3 linked regions of the Sus scrofa genome follow. The protein of the gene in region 3 interacts with the protein of the main gene of each other region in a biochemical or structural test. Links are inferred from orthologs where the notes say so. Each region holds a gene or a part of one and is shown on either strand. Other genes may lie near its edges. The genes, in order: ACVR1, BMPR1B and BMP7.

Region 1 (3,655 bases), on a different chromosome or scaffold from region 3:
CTGAAATTCAGAAGTGATAATCACTTTGGGCCTTTTAATTATGGACATTCACTATCCAACTAACGTTTTAAATTTAACTCACGAGGCAAGTTGAAAGTCTGCGAATGTTTGCGTAAGTGACGTGAGAAATGAGTGAATGCACAAATGTTTGAATGGGTAATGTAACAATATCTGAGCCAGGGAGTGAATGAGTGATGAGCTAAGTGAGTGCCTCAGTGAATGAATGTTTTGAGTGAGTGAACGAATGTTGAATAAATGGGTTATTTATTTATCAGATGAATGAATAGGCAGGAATCATGCTCTAAAAGGAGGAATAAGAATTCAGCAATAGACTTCCAAGATACATTGAAGAGAGAGACCACAGAGAGGGTATTTTGGTCTTAACTCAGATAGCATCTTCTCATCAGAATATTACAGCATAATGTCTTATCTGTAAGGGCTTGATGATAAAACTCCTTACAGATCAAGTCCAAGTTAATAAGGAGTGTATCAGCGATTTGTATAGTACTTTAAATTTTAAAAATACTTTCCACATAGATGCATTAATAAGTTGGTTCTCAGTGGAATTTTTTCAAACTCCTGTTGTGTCTAAATGAATAATGGTTGAATGACTGGGCTGTTGGCCAGATGTTGGAAAGTTTATAGTTTTAGCACTCTGTGACTTACGAGACTATGTGATTTGGATCAAGAGCTACTTGTTAGGTATTGGTTATGCTACGTAATAAGTCAACAATGATCCTTATAGCCAATTACCCTCCTCTCTCCCATCTCCAGGGAAATCCTTTCCTGGAACACAGAATTTCCATTTGGAGGTTGGCCTCATTATTCTGTCTGTAGTGTTCGCAGTATGTCTTCTAGCCTGCCTACTGGGAGTCGCTCTCCGAAAATTTAAAAGGCGCAACCAAGAACGCCTCAATCCCAGAGATGTGGAGTACGGCACCATCGAAGGGCTCATCACCACCAATGTTGGAGACAGCACTTTAGCAGTGAGTGTGTGGCCCCAGGGGTGCCCAAGCATAACAGCGATGGCTAATTATGCTTTCTTATTTTAAGCATGAAATGCTAGCCAGTAATTGGTGACTGGACAGTTGTATACACATGCTACTGGTCACTTATGTCCTAAGCATATGCTGGCAACCCATGTTAGTTTAGGGACCCCACTGTGAGAACGTTTATTTTAGACATTTACATTAAATGAGGGAGTGGATTTTTTTAGTTGATTCTTGGTAGTTATTTCTCTTTTGCTAGTAAGGGAACAGGGGATAGACATGGTTGCCTATAATTTGGAGGTTGGGAGGCTTGCAGTTTATGGTACTCAGTTACTCTATTTTTAGCAATAACAGTGCTTTCAAAAAAAGCCCTTTTGCTTAATATTAAAAGTCATTTTTCCTTCTAGATTATTTCAGCACCTTGTAGTTTAAGACTTTAAAACCTGACATCCAAAAAAGCAGCTATTAAATTTTTCATGCTCCTGTGCTGCCCCCTTGTGGAGTGCAGACATTTGGTTAATCTGGTGCTGTCCAATAGAAATATGTGTGGCACATGTGTAATTTAAAAGTTTCTAGTAGCCATGTTTAAAAAAGTTAAAAACACAGGTAATATTAATTTTAAGACTGCGCTTAACCTAATATATATAATTATCATTTCAACATACGATTATCAGGAATTATTACTGAGATATTTTGCAACTTTTTTAAAAAAACTGAGTTTTCAAAATTTCCTGTGTATTTTACACGTATAGCACCTATCGGTTCAGATCAGCTGCATCTTACTGGCTCACTGTCAGCGTGTGGCTCACAGCGACCCTAAAGGGTCATGTGGCTCACAGCACAGGGTTACAAACCATTGTATCTCTATGTTTTAAAGTTACTCATTTGCACATTTTAAAATGATGAAATCACATTCAAGAGTGACTGGCTTCCTTTTTTCACTTTTTAAAATTGTTTGTCAAGTGTTAATTTTAAAGCAACTTTAAACTCTAGGTGAGAAAAGGGAATCACATGCTAGGAGTAAGTTACCATCAAGTGCCACTGGGAAAAGTAATAACATTCTACAGGGCTACTATGCTGAGTTGATGCCTCCTCTGAAAAAGGCAAAGATTTGTCAGGGTTACAGATGTTAAAGTCATGCCAGTACCAAATCGAGACTCTCCTGGTCATAATCTGATGAACTGAAAGATGGTCAAGGTGGTAACTTTTAATGCCATGACCTTGCATCTACCTAAGATCATCTTGTATTAAGTCTTGTTTTGCCAGACAAAAATGTGAGTGTCTGGGAGTTCCGTAGTTGCACCTGCCCTAAGACAGCCCTTTTGCTGGAGAAGACTTGTCCTCTCCAGTCTTTGCAGCTCAGGTACTGCTCCTGGACTACTAGGCGAGTTGTTAAAACATTTGACGGTGACTGATATAGGCTGGGAAATATCCCATCTTACTGCTTTCCCATCACTGGACTACAGTCAAGTATACTTTTTTTGTATGAAGAAAAGGTGGGGGGGACCTTGTTTAGCTTTCTTTTACCTATTTAAATTTTGCTATAACAAAACTGGGAAAAGAGGAGATGAGGACCTTTCATTCAAAAAGTAGAGAGATACAATTTGCATTGAAAAGGTTCTTAGAAGTTTTATTTCAAATTTTAAGGCAAATTAAATGAGTACATTGAATGAGTAGCAAGGAAGACATAAGGCTGTATCACGAGAAAGCATGATTCTGAGATAGAGTAGTTAAGAGTTTTCTGCCTCAGAACTGCTAACGTAGCTAATTATGTTGGGCACTGATAGGAATGTCTATTGTCAATTACTGTTTAAATGGTTTCTCTGTTTTTGAAAGCAGAATGGAATATATGCTAAAATAATCCTCTCAACTCAACCATGTTCGATGTCACAATAAATGACACAGTAAAGAACACTGTTTAAAACAAGTTATTAATATTTGTCGACATACTTGCCTATTTAAGTGATAGGCTCATTTTTATGACTCAGCAGTGCATACCTTACTAACCAGCTCCCCTACACTGAAAAAGAAGATCTAAGAGTTGAAGTTGATGTTTGTCTTAGGTTGACAATCCCCCCAAAGTCTATGAACTAGGTTTAGAACCAGGATTATACATTATGAAAAAACAACAGATTAGTTTAATTTTCAGAACTATTCTCTTAAAAAATTGAATGAATAAGGAGAAAAATGAACAGCAAAAGAGATGGTTAAGGAGATGTGAAACTCCACTTCATCTAGATTCAATTTCTTGCTGATTATCCATTTTGCGGCTTTTAAGGATTCTAAATTTCTTCCTTTGGATGTTCAGATTTTGGTAATTTTGCTGATCAACAGTACTTCACAGTGGTGCTCAGAGTAAAAGAAGATGAAATTCAAACAGTAATGTATTACTTTAACAGGCCAGCTAAAATGTTTAGGAAAGGACAGGCTGTGGGGAATTTTAGCTCAACATTACTGCAACCTTGCCACAGTCACCATGGGCACGATACTGTTTATATAGATAATCCATTCCTGATTCAAAAAGGCTTCTGCTTCTTGGCTTGCACTGAGAGTAAGGAGGGAAAATTTATGAATGAACTAATTGCAAATCTTTTTTTGCATTTTGAGAAGTAGATTTGGAGCATGGGTTTTCTGTTTTAATGGAAGATAACTTTTTTTCTCTCTCT
Region 2 (3,655 bases), on a different chromosome or scaffold from region 3:
TTTTCTCAAGAGAGGATTCGTATTTGTGTTTTTCTGGGCGCCATGGTGATGGTGTGCTACCAAGCTAAGGCAGATGTTGTACCATTCAGTGGTTCCAGCTTAATGCGAAAGCTCCAGGTTCAGTTTGTCTACTTTTAAAGGGATCAAAGTTCATGTTCTAGATCTCAGTTTATGCTGGTATTATTCGTGGCTCAGACAGCAACCTGGCTTTTGTATATATCCTGCATGCTTATCTACCCCTGCTCTAGTCTCATTTTTTCCTTCCTCTTTTACGCCTTCTTTCCACCCCTTCCTGCTTGGAAATTTCCTTTATTTCTATGTGTCCAACAGTGCTTTACGCTTTTGTTGTATCTTATCCAAGCATATAATGGCATGATTCCCTCAGGAGTATCTAGAACCCACTATGGCGGTACAAGTGAAAAGTATTCTAACCTGCCCATTACCATGAACCCAGTCAGATTTTTTGTCTCTATACAAATAGTAATAGGTAGAATGAAACACTTAATAACTCAGAAGCAGTATCAAACACTCAAAATCTGCAGTCATCCGCAAGTAGATTTAAAAGCGGATAGAAGAAATTAATAAATAAGGGCAGATAACTTATCCATATAAAGAAAAGCTACAGGCTAACTATATTTTACATGTAATCATTGTTTCTTCTCTGGAGGGGAAAAAAAAAGATTCAACAAATCTGTCGTGCTGTGAATACACTAACAGTGTGTTTTGGGATTTAACAGGTCCAGAGGACTATAGCTAAGCAGATTCAGATGGTGAAACAGATTGGAAAAGGTCGCTATGGGGAAGTTTGGATGGGAAGGTGGCGTGGCGAAAAGGTAGCTGTGAAAGTGTTCTTCACCACGGAGGAAGCCAGCTGGTTCCGAGAGACAGAAATATATCAGACAGTGTTGATGAGGCATGAAAACATTTTGGGTGAGTAAGAGGCTGTATTGCAATGTTCAGGGTTTCCTAGCTTTCCTCGCTTTTTTTTTTTTTTTTTCTGTTAACATCTGCATCTTAACTCATCAGTCTAGACCCCTGATGAAATATACAGACGTTTTTCTTCTTGGCATGAGCCCAAGAACGTCATACGCTTCTTATGGGAGCCCTCACAGGAGGAATGACTAAGGCACGTCTGCGAATGAATGTGGGCTGGGAGTGGAAGGTGCTCAAAGCAGTTTTTTTTCTTTTTTTTTTTCCCTTCAGGGACAGGAAATGCAAATGGAACACCAGAATTTCTTATGGTTTCTTAGGGATTTGAAGGTGCACGTTTTTGTTAAAATTTTGTTGTGAAAAGTTAGGGGAATTTTACCTGCAGGGTTTATTTATATCCCGAGTTTACATTGAAAATTGATTTCCTTTTCATTGTCTCCAGTTAGAGGTGATCTGGCTGAATCATCCAAGCAGAAAGACTGCAAGCTCATCACGGGAGGATGTGCTTGTTTTATAAACAGTGTCTTGTGTGTAACTATAATACCATGAACTATTTAGTGTTCACTTAGAGATACTTAAATACCGATTACCGATTAGGAAAAAGGATCCTGTTTTCAGATACAGCCTCTCAGTGTTTCTCTACCCCTCCTGTTTTGACGGTCTCTGATTGGTATGAGGCATTTCGATAGTGTCAAAGGCACAATCAGAAACCTGAATGAAACGTCATACAAAAGACACCTATGGCGAAGAATGGCAGTTGCAAATATGAATTATCCTTCTAGTACTCAGCAAACAAGGAGCTCCGAACCTTACTGGCTTTTTCCCTCGTAGGCTTCATTGCTGCAGACATCAAAGGGACGGGCTCCTGGACCCAGCTGTACCTCATCACAGATTATCATGAAAACGGCTCCCTCTATGATTACCTGAAGTCCACCACCCTGGATACTAAATCCATGCTGAAGTTAGCTTACTCTTCTGTCAGTGGCCTATGTCACTTACACACCGAAATCTTCAGTACTCAAGGCAAACCGGCAATTGCCCATCGAGATCTGAAAAGTAAGAACATCCTGGTGAAGAAAAATGGAACTTGCTGTATAGCTGACCTGGGTCTGGCTGTCAAATTTATTAGGTTAGTATCAAGGTGAACACATACACTTTTTATGGTTCTTTTCTATCATTTTTTATAGATGATGCATTTTATAGCTCAGGGCTTCTAGGATATTCAGCAGAGGAGGAATTTTTTTTATTCATTTCGACTTTTCTTTGCAGGGAAAAAGAAGGAACGTTTTCTTTGCAACCAATAAAGTGTTTGGTCGGGTCGGTCCCACAGTCTCTAAACTCATCAGTGACCTGGCTTCAAGACAGTAGCTTCTTTTACCTTGTAGGTGATTTCATTAGAAGAAATGGTTTTTCTCCTTTGAAAACAAAAGCAAATGAGTTTGCAAATCACAGGTACAGAAGGATCATCATATACTTACTTTAAAATCTCCACTTAGGCTGAGCCTTTATTAAATGGTCGGACCCTCTGACGGATTTGTTTCTAAAGAAGGCCCTGCAAGATACAGAGAGGGGCGCAAAGAAAAAGCCGTGGCAAGGAAGGAAACTTGGGAGAAAGGACTTAATGGATTGGCATTTTCACCCAAAAGTGAAGACAGAGGGCTGATATCATAATAGGCCTCCAATATATGGAGGTTTTCACCATTTAGACGACGGCAAATTGAAATGCTCAGTCTTTAAAAACAAAGCTGGAGGGAATGCTTGGGACTAGAGATATAAGTTAGAAATGTGAACCCCCCTGCCAATGCAGGCTACTAAATCCTCTTTCTCTTCTGAATTCTTTTTTCTGACTTACAACCTTTTTCTGGTCGCCTCTACCCAAAAAATTTCCCGTGATGCTGCTCAGATTACCAGCCTCTGTCCTTTCCTCTGCTGTTAAATTTCCCAAGAGTTCCAAAGAGTGATCTGCTTCCTTGGTCCCGTAATTCATAGTATTCTGTAATGGGAGCTTCTGTTCCCCTCTCCCCTGAAGCTGCTTTACTGAGGGCACCCTGCACTTTGTCATCAGAAGCCCATCTTACTGTCACCCTGCTCTCTGCAGTTCCCACACCTCTTCCTCCTGGGTTCCTGATGTACCTTTATTCCAGGTTCTCCTTTCTCTCTATGGGTTCTGCTCTCTGTTCCTTACATATTTGCCCACCTCTAGATTTTGTGCTCTCTCTGCGTTTTCTTCCTGGTTCCCAGTTTGGGTTGATCCATATTCTAAAATGTGAGCACCTGGCGTTTCCTCTGTTGCCCGAGTTTCCAACTTGCTCAGTTGAATGTGTTCTGTCTCCATGTTGCTCGCTTGGAACTGGGCCTGGTGAGTCGTCTTTACCATTTTTCTAGATTCTGGAGAAAAGCACTTTGTAGTTCTTTCCTCTTTGACTTTTTCTGTTTCTTTTTTTTTTTTCTTTCCCTACATGATACTGCCAGATGTTTTCTCTTGAAGCATCTTTTTGGCATCATCATATCATAGTACCCTCTGGCTTTGGGTTAAAATGTAGTTCCTGTTCTGAACACCTTCCACTTGGTCACACCTTCACGTGTTTTTAGCATGCTTTTATCTACCTGACCACCCAACCCCCCTGCCTCTCTCTTGATAACTACCACCTATCTGCACAGTTTCTCCCTTTGGGACACCTGTCATTATTCTCTCACAAGCCTGACTTTGAGTAAGTTTTCTTGT
Region 3 (2,795 bases):
AGAATGCAACCGGGATGGCGTGGAGAGGGGGCCTCCCTCCCTCCGCCGGCCGCAGCTTCTGTTTATGAAATCGGAATAAACCAAGAAATAGGGATAAATTGTTTAGGAAAATATATCTGTAACATCCTAACCATTTTCATTCATTCGTTTTATTGTGACATGTATTACAGGAGCCTCCGCATGAGTCTTCCTCTCGCACAGACACAAACGTGCCCACCCCCAGCCGCACCCTCTTCCTCCCACTGCCGGCGGCCTGGCTGACGGGCGCTCCTCATTACCCCTGGGACGAGTCGGTGCACGGCCGCGATTTCGCAGCCAGGGCTCGTGGCCGGGCGACTTTCCTTTAGCTACATGTCCTGCGGTTGGGTTTCGCCTGCAGCAACTTGTAGGATCTCGTCCGTAGGACGCCGCCGACGAACCACTGATCAAAAGCCACTCGCCTCCCAAATACCCTCACACGCCTGCACCGTTCAGGTTGGGGAGGGGGACAGACGGTCTGGCAAGGCAGCCGCCTTGGTCTGCGGGCTCCTCGCCACGGCGGTGGCCCTGGGTGGCCGGGCCTCGGGCAGGGCTAGTGGCAGCCGCAGGCCCGGACCACCATGTTCCTGTACTTCTTCAGGATGACGTTGGAGCTGTCGTCGAAGTAGAGGACGGAAATGGCGTTGAGCTGAGTCGGGGCGCAGCAAGGCTTGGGCACCGTCTCAGGGTTGATGAAGTGGACCTGGAACACACACCGAAACGTTGGTGGGCTGCGACCGGGCATCGCCTCGGCCTGGCCCCCGCGCGTCTGCTGGGACAAAAGCCACGGAGACAACACGTACCTGGCGCCCCCGGTTCTAAGCACCTGATGGATAACCAGCTCGGCTCCAGGCTTTATCCTTGGATCACACACAGGTGGGAGAACCCACGCACAGGGGTTTACGCAGCCGACAGCTAGCAAGCGGGTGGCCAGGTCCCGCTCTGTCTTGGGGCTGCCCTGTGCACTGTGGGAGGTCTGGCACCCTCGCTGGGCTGCACCCACTCAACGTCAGAGGCACTCGGACCCCGGCTCCCAACCCTGACAACTAAAACTGCCTCCAGACACTGTCAAACATCCCCCAGGAGGCAAAATCGCCCCAAGTCAAGAAGCACGGGGCTGGACCAGGGTTGGCCTACAGGCCGAGCCCTGCCCCGCCGCGTGTTTTTACGAATACAGTTTTATGGGCACACAGCCACACCCATTCATCACCACAGCATCTCCTGCTTCGGCATCGCAACAGCAGAGGCGGACAGCTCAACTGGGGCCGTTGACTCTCAAAGTCGAAAATATTTACTATCCGGCCCTTTTCAGAAAAAGGGTGCTGACCTCTGGGCCAGATCTGTCCTGCCCAAGAAAAACATCAAGCACATCACACAGGCCATTTAATGTGTTTTAGGAGCCACATTTTAAGAGATGGAAAAGAAAGAGGTGCAATTAATTTAAACAATCTATTCGATTGAGCCCCATATTTCAGAAATATTATCATTTCAACATATACTTAACCTCAGATATCACTAATGAGATATTTTATCTTTCTTTTTTGTTCTAAGTCTTCCAAACCCAGCTGCAAAACATCTTGGTTCCGACTGGCCACATGTCAAGTGCTCAAGAACCACACATTAAAAGTGGACAGCACTGGAGGGTGCAAGTCTAGACTACACGAGACGATTCTGCTTCTTGAGGAATAAAAATAAGAGGAAGAGAATTTCGGCAAACACTTGGGTGCACATCAGCAAGGAAGGAGAAGGTCCAGAAGCTAAGAATGAAGAAAGAGGAGTTCCCATCGTGGCTCAGTGGTTAACGAATCTGACTAGGAACCACGAGGTTGTGGGTTTGATCCCTGGCCTTGCTCAGTGGGTTAAGGATCCGGCATTGCCGGGAGCTTGGTGTGGGTTGCAGACGCAGCTCCTGTGGCTTGTATCCTGCGTTGCTGTGGCTGTGGCCTAGGCCGGTGGCTACAGCTCTGATTAGACCCCCTAGCCTGGGAACCTCCATATGCCACGGGTGTGGCCCTAGAAAAGACAAAAAATAAAAATAAATTAAAAAAAAAAAAAAGAATGGAGAAAGATGCCAGCCGGTTGCCCAGGTTTATTACTCCTTCTTGCTCAAGGGCTTCTGTGCACCTTCCGGAGGGTGAGGGTTGGAGGGAAACAAATTCAAATGCCGGCAGGGGCCACACGAGTGCCACTGATGACCACACTCAGTCAGGAGTCAGACAATAGGGGAGAGTGAGGAGTGGGGCAAACTAAAAGGAGACGGCCACTGCTGCCCACAGCCACCCAAGGCAGTGCCATCGGATGCGCCGAGGGTTCAGGACAGGCTGGCAGTTCAGCCCTGTTTTGTTTTTATGTGAAACTTCCAGGTTCCCAACACAGCGTGTGGACCGAGTGGAAACGCCACAGATGACCGCCTGCACTCCAGCCCCAGTCGGCGACCTCTCATGCCAGCCGGCACCCTTCTCAGATGGTTTTGGGGACAATTTCAAACCTTACAAGTCTAAACCTTCCCCCACATGCTCCGGCCTCGGATCATTTTACAGTAAACCCCAGATGTTAGCTCATTTCTTCTCTATTTCACTCGGATTCTCGGGAAGGCAAGGACTCAGATATGACCCTCGAGTTCCTGTCATGGCGCAGCAGAAACGAATCTGACTCGCATCTGTGAGGACGCAGGTTCAATCCCTGGCCTGGCTCAGTGGGTCAAGGATCCCGCATTGCCATGAGCTGTGGTGTAGGTCGCACACATGGCTTGGATCTGGCGTGGCTGTGGCTGTGGC

The links.
Region 1: the proteins of BMP7 (region 3) and ACVR1 form a complex in vitro, tested with the Homo sapiens proteins (2 studies listed by BioGRID). The link is inferred for Sus scrofa from reciprocal best matches to the Homo sapiens genes BMP7 and ACVR1.
Region 2: the proteins of BMP7 (region 3) and BMPR1B form a complex in vitro, tested with the Homo sapiens proteins (2 studies listed by BioGRID). The link is inferred for Sus scrofa from reciprocal best matches to the Homo sapiens genes BMP7 and BMPR1B.

The regions. Positions count from the first base shown.
Region 1 is NC_010457.5:64,789,621-64,793,275, reverse strand, and holds part of ACVR1 (activin receptor type-1), read left to right. Parts: intron 1-774; coding exon 775-986; intron 987-3,655. UniProt on the Homo sapiens protein: Bone morphogenetic protein (BMP) type I receptor that is involved in a wide variety of biological processes, including bone, heart, cartilage, nervous, and reproductive system development and regulation.
Region 2 is NC_010450.4:124,559,386-124,563,040, reverse strand, and holds part of BMPR1B (bone morphogenetic protein receptor type-1B), read left to right. Parts: intron 1-737; coding exon 738-930; intron 931-1,761; coding exon 1,762-2,059; intron 2,060-2,199; coding exon of another isoform or gene 2,200-2,413; exon of another isoform or gene 2,414-3,655. UniProt on the Homo sapiens protein: On ligand binding, forms a receptor complex consisting of two type II and two type I transmembrane serine/threonine kinases.
Region 3 is NC_010459.5:57,586,251-57,589,045, forward strand, and holds the end of BMP7 (bone morphogenetic protein 7 precursor), read right to left. Parts: intron 722-2,795; coding exon 572-721; downstream 1-571. UniProt on the Homo sapiens protein: Growth factor of the TGF-beta superfamily that plays important role in various biological processes, including embryogenesis, hematopoiesis, neurogenesis and skeletal morphogenesis.